2 linked regions of the Xenopus tropicalis genome follow. The protein of the gene in region 1 binds, or shares a complex with, the protein of each later gene. Links are inferred from orthologs where the notes say so. Each region holds a gene or a part of one and is shown in the gene's direction. Other genes may lie near its edges.

Evidence for each region. Proteins that work in one complex are often made in the same cells at the same time.
Region 2: bdp1 (region 1) and brf2 share a complex: the UniProt entries of both Homo sapiens proteins name them as parts of the TFIIIB complex. The link is inferred for Xenopus tropicalis from reciprocal best matches to the Homo sapiens genes BDP1 and BRF2.

Annotation. Positions count from the first base shown.
Region 1 is NC_030677.2:182,614,086-182,618,155, forward strand, and holds the start of bdp1 (transcription factor TFIIIB component B'' homolog), read left to right. Parts: upstream 1-1,270; 5' UTR 1,271-1,607; coding exon 1,608-1,885; intron 1,886-3,714; coding exon 3,715-4,070. UniProt on the Homo sapiens protein: General activator of RNA polymerase III transcription. Requires for transcription from all three types of polymerase III promoters. Requires for transcription of genes with internal promoter elements and with promoter elements upstream of the initiation site.
Region 2 is NC_030679.2:118,999,944-119,010,795, forward strand, and holds the start of brf2 (transcription factor IIIB 50 kDa subunit), read left to right. Parts: upstream 1-4,119; 5' UTR 4,120-4,219; coding exon 4,220-4,373; intron 4,374-7,697; coding exon 7,698-7,757; intron 7,758-9,568; coding exon 9,569-9,890; intron 9,891-10,852. UniProt on the Homo sapiens protein: General activator of RNA polymerase III transcription. Factor exclusively required for RNA polymerase III transcription of genes with promoter elements upstream of the initiation sites.

The DNA of each region.
Region 1 (4,070 bases):
GTTCACCTGTTCACACCTCAGACTGTAGGAGCAGTAGAAACCCACAAATAATCCCTTCACACTCTAAAAAGAACATACTGTATACTGAGGTGGTACTGCAATTAAAAAGTTTTTTTTATTTTATAGTTATTGTGCAGACTGTAGGAGCAGTGCCAGTATTGTGTCACTCTATGCTGTCTATGTGTGCCATACACACAGACAGCATAGGGCAGGCAGAGTATGGCACACACAGGCAGCATAGGACAGGCAGAGTATGGCACACACAGGCAGGGTAGGGCAGGCAGAGTATGGCACACACAGGCAGGGTAGGGCAGGCAGAGTATGGCACACACAGGCAGGGTAGGGAAGACAGAGTATGGCATATACAGGCAGGGTAGGGAAGACAGAGTATGACACACACAGGCAGGGTAGGGAAGACAGAGTATGGCATATACAGGCAGGGTAGGGAAGACAGAGTATGGCATACACAGGCAGGGTAGCGCAGACAGGGTATGGCATACACAGGCAGCATAGGGCAGGCAGAGTAAGGCACACACAGGCAGCATAGGGCAGGCAGAGTATGGCACACACAGGCAGGGTAGGGAAGACAGAGTATGGCATATACAGGCAGGGTAGGGAAGACAGAGTATGGCATACACAGGGACACGCACGTCTATTTTATGTCGCCTGTGTCTATTTTTTTGTCGCCCGTGCTTTTTTGCTGCAAACCTGCCTTTTTGTTGATGTGACCATGCCCGATTTTACGTGACCACGTCCTTTTTGACGCACAACGAAAAATTCCGTAAAAACAAGTAGGATCTATCCTACATGCACTATATTTTATAATTCCTATGATTATTCATTTTCCAACTTGAATATAGTCCAACTATATAAAAAAAAGTCTATTTCCTTATATATAAAGGTACACTGTTCCATTACCAACTTGACACTAGATATATCTGACCATATCGTCTAGTTTCTATTACTGTTCCTTTTCCCACTAGATGTTAGCAAAACTATACTGAAAGATCAATGTCCTAATCTGTAAAGCTGCTCTGTTCTATTACCAACTAGGAACTAGATATGTCTGAAGAAATTGCCTAGTTTCTATTACTGTTCCTTTTCCCACTAGATTTTAGCCCAACTACACTGAAAGATCTATTTCCCAGTCTGTAAAACTGCTCTGTTCCATTAGCAACTTGGAACTAGACACAACCCACCGCTCATAGTAAGTTATTTTAGCTGTTACCACTTGCCTAGTAAATATCCGCCAGGCGACATTTTGCCAGTCTCTGCTCCAGCCTATGACGCCAGTACAGGTCGCCGCTGGATGATGTCATTGTGGAATCTCTCCAACCCACGTGACTGTGCTGGCAGCGTGAGCGCTGAGGAAAGGGCTAGTGTGAGCGCTAAGGAAGGGGCTAGTGTGAGCGCTAAGGGAGGGGCTAGTGTGAGCGCTAAGGAAGGGGCTAGTGTGAGCGCTAAGGGAGGGGCTAGTGTGAGCGCTAAGGGAGGGGCTAGTGTGAGCGCTAAGGGAGGGGCTAGTGTGAGCGCTAAGGAAGGGGCTAGTGTAAGCGCTTCCCAGGGATGAGGAAGTGGAGACGCAGCTGATTGCGACACCGCATACCATGATCCGAAGAGCGCGGTTAAGTTTCAAACCCAATGTTAAGCCGGGCGGCCGCGGCCCTGGCCCTAGCCCCGGTACAACACCCGGCAGTGGTGGCATTGCTACCGATCCCAACAGGGCCTCTCAGGAACCCCCATGCCCGAACCATGAAACCGTCGAGAAGGATAACGGAGTGGCGGTGTCTGATGTGGCTGAGACAGAGGGAGCGACAACGGTATCGGCTGCTGCTGACAGAGGGGACTCGTTTGTCCAGGAAGAGGAGGAGAAGGGAACAGGCCTGTGAGTGACAGCTGATTGGCACTGTCTATCTATAATCTGTCCCCCCTATAGGGGGCGCTGTTAGATAAAGGGAAAATAAGTTTGATGTAAAGGAATTTTACTGTGTTTGAAGTTGTTTTTTTTTTAATCATCACATAGTTGTGATGCAGTCTTTCAGCAATGGCAGGTTGCTTTAGGGCTCTGGCACATGGGGGAGATTAGTCGCCCGCGACAAAACTCCCTGTTCGCGGGCGACTAATCTCCCCGAGTTGCCTACCCCTGCCATCCCACCGGCGAACATGTAAGTCGCTGGCGGGATGACAGACGCGGCGGCGCGATTTCGCGCAAATCGCCGAAAAAGACTCGCCCCGCGTGTGCCATCCCGCCAGCGACTTACATGTTCGCCGGCGGGATGGCGGGTCATGGCAACTCGGGGAGATTAATCTCCCCCGTGTGCCAGAGCCCTTAGGGCCGGGACAGACGGGGAGATTAGTCACGGGCAACTACTATCCCCCTAATGCCATTCCACAGGCTAGAATGTAAATCGCCGAAGTTTCCTCTCAAGGCAACTTTGCTGATTTTTGCAAATCGCAGCGCCGCGTATGCCATCCCACCGGTGACTTACATTCTAGCCGGTGGGATGTCATTATGGGGAGATTAGTCGCTAAATAGCCAATCACAAGCCAATGACAGCCCTTATTTTGCATCCCCGAAGAACTGTGATATGTGGCTCACTAGTAAAAAAGGTTGGGGATCCCTGCTCTAGAACATTAGTTGTAGCCCTTGTTTTTTGCTCAGGGAATAATCATTACTGTAAGCTTTGTGAACTCACATGTAGAGTGGGCACTCGCCGAATCCCAGTGTTAAAAAGGTTTAGGATTGAGGAGAGCAGAATAACTGCTGTGAGCAAGCTTTATTATAGGCTACTAAATTCATGCTTTGTGCCATAATCCCTGGGAGAGTAGACAGATGTGTGTGTGAATCTTTTTACAACTATTTACTGCAACTAAGAACAGCTTTTAGTGCTAGTGCCAGGGGGAAAGCATTCCCCTCAAATAGAGGGTCAAAGTACCAGTGTTCATATTGAAAAAAGTTCTGTGCCCATGATGAGTTATTAAGTCATAATTTCTAATCTAAGATAAAATAAATGAAAGTTGTAAAATAGAGCAGAGTTTTTTTTCTGCAGGGTGCATGTTTAAAAGATGTGGCCCTCCAAGGCCTGCCTAGTGGCACCATAGACTTCTTTGGGTGATACCATTATTTTAATACAAGTCTAAAGAAATTTTTGGACTACTGGATATTGCCAAACATCTAAACTAGCTGAAGGCATTTGTGCCATAAGGCACTCCTTGCACTTCTTTAGAGTTGCCATGCAGTCCTTCCTGCCTAAGAGGGATGGACCGAATCCATGTTCCTGGCCAAACGGAATCCGAATTGGAAGTTGAAAATTTTGGCCGAATCCAAAAATAGTAGATACCGATGTTTGGGGGACCCTGAAGCAGCAGGCAGTAACTCCAGGGCTCCCACAGGGGCCTGCATCAGAAATATGGTGCACAAACCAAACACTGGAAATGACACCAACCAGACTTAAAACAATTTTTAGCTCGATTATGTCTGATTCCCACCACAATGCAAGAGTTATTGCACCATTTTTGGCACATTGATGCCACAGTTGTATCGGGAAAAAGTGCTGCATTATAGGTAAAAATATATGGTGATTGTGTCTACAATCAATTGTAATGCACTCTGTGGTGCCGTAAGGAAAATTAACCTTTTTTCACATATGACTATGCATTAAATTGGCTGCTTTTTTGTTATTTCTTCTTATACTATACCATTTGTTCTGTCAGGTGCAAACATGCTGTCCCAACTGGTGCTGAAGTTCAGGCATGTGCAACATCTACACCTCTCCAGCGTAGAAAGAGATTTGCTACTTTGCCTAATATTGGAAAACCAAGGGTCTCCATTCCTTCGGCCGTTACCACATTACCACTTAAAGCTTCTCAAGGAGACATTCCTATAGCCGTACCTAGTATCGGTGTGGCTGAAGCCGCTACTCCAGAGAAAGCCAAGTTAGAGAGCTCTTTCAAAATACCCACTCCCCCTAATATTTCCCAAGCTTCGTTGCCTGAAAAGAGAACTCCAGTGCCCCAGGTTCCACAGTTTACGCCTTTTAAGAAACCTGTTCTTAAACAACCTGAAGTAA
Region 2 (10,852 bases), on another chromosome or scaffold:
TTTATAAAGCACTCCATGTATTTATGTGATTATGGGTGTTATACATGCAGCTCTATACATATGTGAGGTTCAGAGCTTCCCTACACAAGGAGTCATCAGTTACCTACATAATTGTTCTCACATGTACAGCCTAAAGGTATTTATTGTCAGGAAAAGGGCATTTAAATGTATAAATAAATAGCTGTGTACAGCAATCCACAGAGCTCCTTAAGAGATAATAACAGGGGGTTCTCTTATGTAGTCATTATTATTAATGCACTGAAGCCTGGTGTCCTTAGATTCCTCTAATATGGACTCACTGGAATACTTCCATGTAAGCAGCAAATTGGCTTCATTTGAAAGTTGCAATGAGCTTCACTTGTTCATACTGTGAATAAGGTGTAACAATAACAGCAGTGGGACGGCCTATCTGTATGTGAAACAGAGATAAAACTGCAGCTGCTGCCAGATTGGTTTATAGCCCATAATGTAAACCCTTGCCATGAAAACATCACATGAATACAATAAGGACCTTCATGTGTCCTCACTAGAGTGTGTTTGGAGCAGATATGGAGTTCTGCCATGCTGGGTGCACACTGAGCAACTGATTTACATGGCTATCAATTCTACCCACACCTTGCTATGGGTCGCTCTCTAGCTTTATGGGCTGCCCATTGTGCCAGGCCTGCAGAAGATTCCAAAACAATCTCAGTTAACCAATAAAAGGTATCCCTTATTCTGCACTTACTTTGCTCAATGGACAATGCTCGACCACTCTGAGGCTTCTGCCAACTGGATATGAAAGGACAAGCTGGCGTTTGGAACTCAAGATTATCAGTATTATGTAAACTGTACCAAAATAGTTTCATGGTTACTTGCAGCAGAGTCTTGCTATTGCTACATAGTGTATGGCACGTAACTGGGGCAGTTTTTGTTTTGTGGGTGGGTCAGAGCAGTTGTGATTTGAATGAGAGACTGAAATATTAATGGGGGAGGGTAAGTAATAAATATTAACAACAACAAAATTGTAGCCTCGCAGCAATAGTTTTTTGGCTTCTGGGATCAGTGACCCCCATTTGAAAGCTGGAAAGAGGCAAATAAATAAAAAAAAACTATAAAAAAAGGAAAACCAATTGAAAAGTTGCTTAGAATTAGACAAAAAACATACTAAAAGTTAGCTTAAAAGTAAACAACCCCTTTAAGTTAACTTATGTTATAGAATGGCCAATTCAAAGCAACTTTTCCATTTTTTTTATATATGATAATAGAAAATGAAGACCATTTGAAAATTGTCTCAGAATAGTGCTCTCTACGTCATACTAAAAGTTAACTCAAAGTTGAACAACCTCTTTAAGTTAGTGATAGAAGGGAATCCTTGTAATGATACTTTGCTTAGAGCTGAACAGAGAAACCTTAGATGACGACTCACTAATTAACTTGCCAAAGCAACATCACAAGACTTAAAAAATATATAAATTGGAAAAGTGCTCAAAAGAGCAGTTGCTGCAATTGGACATGAATTTGTTTGGGGGGTTTATATTTCCTTTGAATACAGTTCATGGGGTATTGGGGTGCTGTCTGGGAAGTGCTTGGAAATGTTTGCTATGCCGAATGTTTGCCAGAACTTTCCCAAAAGAATGAAATAGGGACATAATAGAGCAAAGCACCACTTTGCCTTCTCCCTCCAGCTGAAGTGCTGAACCGTACAGAGAATCCACACTGTGCCATACGCCAGGCAGCCCAGCCTATACAGACCGTTACTATTTGTGCCAATTCATGCAGTAAGTGATATCTGTTGGGTCACATTTACATTCACTGGAGATATCTCTAATAATCCCCTAACTGGTGAGTCAGTGCTGCTGTAAACTGAGCTGCTTCCTTATTCCACATCACATGCACCAGTTCCCCATTCCCCTTCCCTATGCCCCTTCCCTATGCACACAGTGCAGCAATAACACAAATGTACTTATACCTGCACCTCTGTACGGCACTTTCTCCATTATAATCAGCTTGCTGCCTATTGTACGGACCAGATGTACAGTATTTGTTTTTTTCATTCTGTGTGGTGAATTATAAACCCTCCAAACACTTTTGCAACTTACATTATTAATGTTTTTTTCTAGTTTTTAAGATATTAGGTTTTTAAACTGGGACTTGGCCAACTCTACTTTGCAAATGCGAAAGCCCTAGCCTTTGTAACTAGCAGCCCCTAGATCTAAGGTACCCACCCATTTAGATATAATTTGTATTTTAATGTGATTAATTTTATATTTTATCTATCTGTATTTGTGAATTTACTCTGTCCCCTGCTACTCCCAGCTAAGGCCAGGTTACCCACCACTCGCTCTTTCAGATGGGCCCTCCCTTGTGGTATGAAGGCATTTCTTTATATAACTAACACATCTGTAATAACCTAGGTGCCAGTGATTCTTAAAACAAGGGTCAATTGTTTATTGCTGTAACCTGGAGGGACAAGTGCTATTTAACAGGCATTTAGTTCCAGTGTGGGCTAGTACTTACCCAGGAATCCCCCACACAAACTGTTCTACTAAAAAATCATATTCTCTTAAAGCACAATAAAAGGGGCTTTGGCAAAAAAATCTGCGAAGGCGCTGACAGCAACCCCTATGCGCCCCCCTTGCTAGGGAGGAGAGTGGTTGGGGAGGGGGGATATCAAAGAACTATAGAGGAAGCAAACACCATGATTCAGGCCCCCCTGTCCCACCCCCACGACTGCAAGGTCTGTTTCTTTTATAGTTACACCCATGGAAAAGAAGTGCTACCTAGTGTAGGGAAGTGTTTAGGTCCGGGGCCACCCTACGAGACGGCAGAAAAGACATCACGCATGAGTGCACCTGAGGATTTTTACTTTTTCAATTTTTAATATTTATTGATTATATAGGCACCTGAGAGTGGTCCCCACGGCTGCCCCCCTAGTCACAGGCCCTTGGGTGCCTATATATAGATATGACTGTGTCTAGAAATCTTCCATACCTAGCACAGCACCACCATCTTTCTAAACTATATATTCCAGGGCTCCTGGGGAGCCTTGCAGTACTGGGGTCCTGAGTTTGATTCCTGACTGTAAGCAGTGTGTATGTTCTCCCTGTGCCTGTGTGGTTTTCCTCCAAAAACATACAGGTAGTTATTTTTAAATTCCTTGGGTGCAAGTTTTGGCTGAATAAAAACAAGATTTACTACCAAATAAAGCCCCCTGTAAGCTGATAGTGTGCATAGAGGCTGCCTAATAGCCAATCTTAGCCCTTATTTGGCTCCTCCATGAACTTTTATGGTGCTTGTGTTGCTCTCCAAGTCTTTTTACATTTGACTGTGGCTCAAGAGTAAGAAAGGTTGGGGATCCCTGATATAAGTAAGTCTAAATTTCCCAATGACACAAGTGTACACCCCGTAGTGCTCATCTAACAACCACTTGTGCCCCAGGGAAAGCTGCACTCTGCTCCCTGTGCCAGATTATATGAGGAGCAAAGTGCAGCGTCAGGGGTAATAATGAGCAAACCTGTCCCATTTTGCAAAAGATTTGTAAAAATTTGCAGAACGCATTGAAGTCAATCAGCATTCTTCTTACCAAGCAACATTTTTGCAGCCATTATAATCTATGGAAAAATTTTTGCTCATCACTAGTAAGGAGGCATAGTTGGCCTACTCCTCCCTATGTTGAATGTCGAGTTAGGGAATGGGCAGGGGGAGCGCAGACTGCGGTCTTTTCTTTTTTTTTTTCCCGCACTTTGCACTCTACGTTCTGCAAAGTGTATGACCCTCTATAAACGCTAGGTTAATGTTTTGGCGCTACACAAACAACAGATGTACAAAAAAATAGTTATAGCATCAGCGCCCCCCAGTGTTGGCACAGTGTGTTTACATTTTTAGCATCTGTCTGTGTTTAATCTACACGCTCAGTCTGACAGATTGTGACACAAATTAATCTCCAGTGATATTACTCAGCTCTAATGTAGAATAAATAGGCGCAGTCAGGCACAGTCTCAGTCTCTTCCGATTTTATTTTAATTAATTACTAGAAAAAGGACGATAACAATACTAATATCACCTTACTTCCGGTTCAGCCAAGTCTTATCCCGCCTCTTCCCCGACATGGGAAGTGATGTCATAGAATGTGAAACCGCTCTATCAGCTAATAGGGAGGTAGGAAGAAAAGCGGGGCGTACCTATAGTGACAGAAGTCTTATGGTTCCGCGCTTGTTTGGATGCACAGTTAGCGAAAATGTCGGGCGCGAAGCAATGTCCTGATTGCGGCTCCTCAGATATAGTGGAGGATGCGCACTATTCCCAGGATCAGGTGGTGTGTGCCGACTGCGGCTGTATTCTGAGTGAAGGCCTAATCACCACCACCGCTGCGGAGGAGAGTCACTTGCAAGGTGTGTGGCTCAGCGTGAGTCTCAGCTGTGTGCATGGCTTCCGGTGCTGCTGCTCTTGCCGTGCATTCTGGGAGTTGTGTGCCACAAGCAGAACTTTGCTACCACTTTCCAGTTGTTCATGAGAGAGAGATTATGTGCCATATACACACTGTAAAAAAAAGACATTGTAAGAAGGAAGACCCTGCTGCATAAAGCTTACAATCTAAGTGTGGGGAGAAATTGCACAGCTGGGGTACCTCTGCATTCAGCCCTCTTTCCATATATAGGCCTTGTTTTGCCCAGCTAGGCATTCTGTGCCTTAGTTCTTTCTGCCTGGCCTTTCTACTAAAAACATCTCTATGAGGCTTTAAAATTTGTAGAATGGTGTCACTGAGGGTGGATTTAGTCTTAGGGTGAAGACACAGAGCAACTAGTAGCAGCTACTAAATGCCAGAAAATCCCCTGCCATAGACAATGCTGAGAATTGCCTCTGATAAAACACGTAGAGACAGTTATCAGTAAATGATCAGCATTGTCTATTTTAGTAGCCACGACAAGTAGCTGCTACTAGTAGCTCCGTGTGTCTTCACCCTTAGAGTAATACTTGCCTTCATGTTTTGTGGGTTTCAGGAACTGGCCTGCTAGTTCCCACCAGTGGCATTTTTGCAATAAAGCCATGCAAGGCCCTTTCCTCAGGTGGTACTGTACCAGGGACTGCAAAAAAAACTTATAATCAGAGTCTATTAACCTGCCTAAATGTTTTTTGCATGTGGGAGGAAACCAAAGGAAACCCACACAAATATAAGGCAAACATAGAAACTCCTTGCAGATAGTTCCCTGGCTACATTCAAGCACAGAATGGCAGTAATGCTAGCCTGGGCACCCACCCTTGCCTAAATCATTTGTTATTGCAGATCATATGTTTATTTGCCTAATGGGCATTTGCCCGAAAATTGGCCAGATGTCTATCAAGTAGATCAGAAAAACCATCAGATGAGGATGAAATTGTGTAGAAACGAGTTCACTAACTGATACAAGGGGGTTGATTCACTAAAGTGCGATAAATCTTATCGCGCACTTTTTTGAGTTAAATTAGACGCAATAATTAGCGCGCAATTCACCATACTACTATCGCGTGCGTTAAGTCGCCATATAGCATGCGCTAGTCTTAACACATGCGTTAATTTCCGCGCTGAAAAGAATGCGATCGCATGATTCACAATCACTTAGGCGCGCTAAATATCGCATTAGGCTATGCGAAAATTAACACCTACTACAGGTTTCTACAATTATAGAAAAGTACAGTAAATGAGTTTTTGGCAATAAAATATGGACTTAGCAGTGTTATTTATTCAAGTATGTGTCTTTTTACTCAATTTTACTAAAGTCTTGGCATGTATGGAATTTTGCTACTAATATACAGTACTATAGCGGTAAATATTTAGTCGCCAAAATATACAGTACTGTAGCGGTAAATATTTAGTCGCCAAAATATACAGTACTGTAGCGGTAAATATTTAGTTGCCAAAATATACAGTACTATAGCGGTAAATATTTAGTCGCACAAAATACATTACTAGGTATAATAATTATAGAAAAGTACAGTAAATGAGTTTTTGGCAATAAAATATGGACTTTGCAGTGTTATTTATTCAAGTACTGTATATACTCGAGTATAAGCCTAGTTTTTCAGCACCCAAAATGTGCTGAAAAAAGTCACCCTCGGCTTATACTCGAGCCAGGTGCCATGGGTCCCTCTAGACTAGCACCCTCTCTCCTTTGTGTGCAAATTAGGCCACCCGCAACCAGACCCTCCAGTGCCCTGGCCTAGGCTCCCACTAGCAATACTTATTTCCCCTTACATCTCCTCCGGGACCGGGTCTGCTGCCAGTTTGCCAATGTGCAATGAGTGTGGGGTAGTACTCATATTGTTTTTGTTGACCCTCTTCTCCGCTTACAGAGCTAGTTTACTGTTTTTCTTTGAAATAAATATTGAAAAACATATACCCCACTGATGCCTCAATTAATGTAATTTTATGGGTATTTATTTTGATTGTTAAAACTTAGCAGTAGCTGCTGCATTTGCCACCCTAGGCTTATACTCGAGTCAATAAGTTTTTCCAGTTTTCTTAGGTAAAATTAGGTACCTCGGCTTATATTCGGATCGGCTTATACTCGAGTATATACGGTATGTGTTTCCCCTAGAGTGACGCAGCCGCCAGTTTGCAGGGAAATGGTCATTTTTAATACAGTAATTTTCCGCAAGTATTGGCGTGTATGGCTAACATGGCGTGCGTTCAGTTGCACGACTATTTATATGCGGCTACAAGTGATTAAATGTTTCGCCAGGCATGGATTCGCAGCGAATTTTTGGACGTGCAGCGAATTTTTCTGCGGCAAATTTTTTCATGCGTTTCGCAAAACAATCTGCCAATGGCAAAACGCATAAAAAAATTCGCCACGCAAAAATTCACCGCACGTCCAAAAATTTACAAAAGCGTCAAAAAATATAATAGTCGCGGGCAACAATTTTTTTGCCCGCACAACATTTTTGCCGTTTCGTGGATCTTTCGAAAGATTTGCTAATTTTTCACCAAAGATAACCAGAACACATTTGCTCATCACTAGTGGCTACTATTTATAAGCATCTACTATTTATATGCGGCGACAGTTTATATACTATTTCTAAGCTACTATTTATATCTGGCGACTAAATGCGAGCGTTATTTAGCGCATGTACCGGCAAATACCGCATTGAAATAGTCTTCGCGAGTTAAATAACGCATGCAATATCGCGCGTAAAATAGCGCAAGTATGCTTATAGTGAATCGTGCGAAAATTAAGACGCGATAAAATTTTTACCGCACGCTATAAATAGCGCACGTTATTTCGCACTTTAGTGAATCGGCCCCAAGGTTCTTTAACCTGATCCTGGCAAATACTTTTGCTCTACCATAAGCAGACTGAGATAAGCTTCTGATTCAGTCACTCCAGACCCAGGTTGGCAGCTTACTGGCATGTGTATGGGGTCCTCCCAATATCCCACCCAACCAATATGTATATGAAAATGGGCTAAATATCAATTGGGCAGGTTATAAAATCAAATTGAGCAAATTGATGTAATCCTTTCCTAATGCATCACCTTAGTGATCATTGGTACAACAGCCAAATGATCAGATCATGCTGATTCGTTCCTGTGTGTTATTGACCAAATAAGTTTGTGTTAACTTGGCTGCCTGTTCTTACTATAAATGTCAGCCCGCATTCTGGTTTTTGTTCTTACTTTCTGTGCCTGTAGTTCTGAATGCCCTTGGATCCATAACCCTTTCTTGTTTTTGTTTACAGCTGTGAGATTTGCCGACAGCACCGGAGAGAATGACTCGATGACCGTTAGTAAGCTCCGGGGTAAGTGTTTGCTGGAGATGTACAGGCAATATTCTGCATGAGGCACTTCTGGGCATGAAGGCCTCTGTCTGTAGGAAGCACCTTTGTTGTAGAGCCAACACATACTTCTTGTGTAAAAAGTGGAGTGAAGCATTACCGGTGATGTTGCCCAAGGCAACCAATCAGCAATTAGATTTCAACAGTTAGCAAAGCAAAGCATCTGATTGGCTGCTATGAGCAACATCACCGATAATGTTTTATTCCACTTTTTACACAGCATGGGTGTGCATTCATGTCAGAAACCACAGTACATTACATTCTCATGCAAGGACAGCAAGTTATTCCATAAGGACAGAGCTAAGCATCTCATTGATTTAAAACATTCAGGAGCACTTTGCCCATTTATCATACCTGCTGCCTCTGCATAATGCATTATTGGGGGTATCATTTTGTTTATCTGTGTGCTTTCACAACCTAACATTCTGGTTCTGTAGCAGAAGTGTCCAGTCAAAATGTTCTGCATGTTTGAAATGTGCAGGAACTGGTTTGTTATACACTAATTGATACAAATTTCCTTAGCATGATTGGTTATGCATGAGCTGATAAAACCTTATGACAGTTGGCAGCTTACTGGCCTGTGTATGGGGCCCTCCAGGCGGCATGCCCAACCAATATCTGCCCAGTTTTTAGCCAGATATCTATTGGGCGAGTGAAAATCCCATACAAACACGTTGATGCCGTGATCTCATGATGATGATTTATGATCTAATGCAGTGCTGTCCAACTGGCATGCGGCCCGCGACCCCCCTCTGTGTGGCCCCCCACCTGTCTGGCTGCTTTGATGTCTTACCTTAGTGTAAACTTTAAATGGTATCAGTACTGTGATTAACTGGCCCCCTGCGTCGTTCACACCTCAAATTCACGCTGTAATTTCCCTGTATTGTTTAATAATGTAATCCCCTGTGTTGTTCACACCTTTTAATCCCTGCATTGTTCACACCTCAGGCTCAGACTGTAATCACCCACATTGTTCACACCTCAGGAGGAGCAGTAGAAACCCACAAATAAACCCTGCACACTATAAAAAGAACATATACTGAGGTGGTACTACACACAGGCACCATAGGGCAGTCAAGAGTATGGCACACATAGGCAGAGTATGGCACACACAGGTAGGGTAGGGCACACACAGGCAGGGTAGGGCACACACAGGCAGGGTAGGGCACACACAGGCAGGGTAGGGCACACACAGGCAGGGTAGGGCACACACAGGCAGGGTAGGGCACACACAGGCAGGGTAGGGCACACACAGGCAGGGCAGGGCACACACAGGCAGGGCAGGGCACACACAGGTAGGGCAGGCAGAGTATGGCACACACAGGCAGGGTAGGGAAGGCAGAGTATGGCAGGTTTTTTGGGTATGATCATGTGATAACATGGGTATGGTTTCAAGTGGGTGTGGTTTAAAAAGGGGAGTGGTCAAAATTGGTTTCCATTATCGGCCCTCCTCCATGTAGGCCGGAAAAATTCCGGCCCTCAGTACCACAGAAGTTGGACAGCACTGATCTAATATGATATGGATTGTTCTGATTTGGCTCAGCATGTTAGTCGCCACATTAGGTAAAGGTCCTCTCATTTGGCAGATAAACTGTTCTATACTATAATTTATAACTTGTTAATCATCTAAAGAGCAGCAAGTGGTCATAGAGAAGCTGGGATATATTATGAGTTAATTCATATGTACCTTGATGCTATTTTGAACAGTAGATACAGAACTGTATGTGATCCAATATTGTACTTCTTGGGAGCTACTCTTGTCTTTTGTCCCACAGGAATTGTACGTGTGCGGAATATCTGCAGAGTCCTAAGACTACCTGACGGCTTTTCAGATACAGCAGTATCCTACTATGAACAAGCTTATAAGCATCCCCTGTACCACTCTGTCTCCATTGAGAAGAAGGAGATAATTGTGGGCTGCTGTGTGTACATCACTTGCAGGCAGCACCAATGGCCTATCACTATGGCTACTATTTGCTCTTTGGTTTATGCCAAGAAAGAACTGTTTGCGAGCATTTTCCTGAGCATAGTGCAAGTACTGAAACTGGATGTCCCATCTGTTAGCCTCCAGAACCTTGTGATGAGTCACTGCAGAAGGTGAGAAATGCAAGCTTTCATGTGCCCATGGTACCTATGAATAACTTATTTACAAACCTTTTTGGCACCCTGGGTCTAGTTCTAGTCTTGTTAAAATGATGCCGGCAGGGATATTTTGAGACGATTTGCAATTGGCCTTCATTTTTTTTTTTTTGTGGTTTTTCAGTTTCAATTTAGCTTTTTGTTTGGCAGCTCTCCACTTTGACATTTTAGCAGCTACCTGGTTGCTAATGTTTTATTCTAGCAACCAGACAGTAATTTAAATGAGAGACTGGAATATGAAAAGGTGAAGGACTGAATAGAAAGATAAGTAATAAAAAGCAACAATAACACTTTAGCCTCAGGGAGCAATAGATTTTTGTGTGCCAGGGTCAGTGACCCCCATCTTAAACCTAGAAAAAGGCAGTAAAGGAAAGCAAATAATTAAAAAAACAAAACAAAAAAAAAAACAACAAATAAATAAAGCCAATTGCAAAGTTTTGAGGAATAGGATATTCTATAACGTACTAAAAGGTGAACCACCCATTTAATGCTTTGTGGTAGGCTTATGTGGAACCACTGGTTTAGTAATCCCATGTATATATCATACATTCCCTGCAGAATCACCCTCCCCAAAAACAGCCCAATTGCCCGTACCTATTAATAAAGTATAGTGGAGCAGCATGGCTGTTGGCCACCATGTCTGGCTGCTTGACATCATTTAAACAGTTGAAGTCAGGTACATTCTCCTGGCTGCCAGCTAGTTTAGAAAAAGAATGCCATGGGCCAGACACGGCAGCCAACAAACCCCTACAAATGTTGGTAGATGGGGTATAATTAGGATAATAATGATCTGCAGGGAATGTATGGTAGATACATTACAGGACATGGAAACCTGTGCAACTTGAAGTGGTGTTTATGCTTTGCAGTCACAGCCGCAGTGCCCTCAGCGCTACAACATATTTGTAATCCAGGGGTCCCCA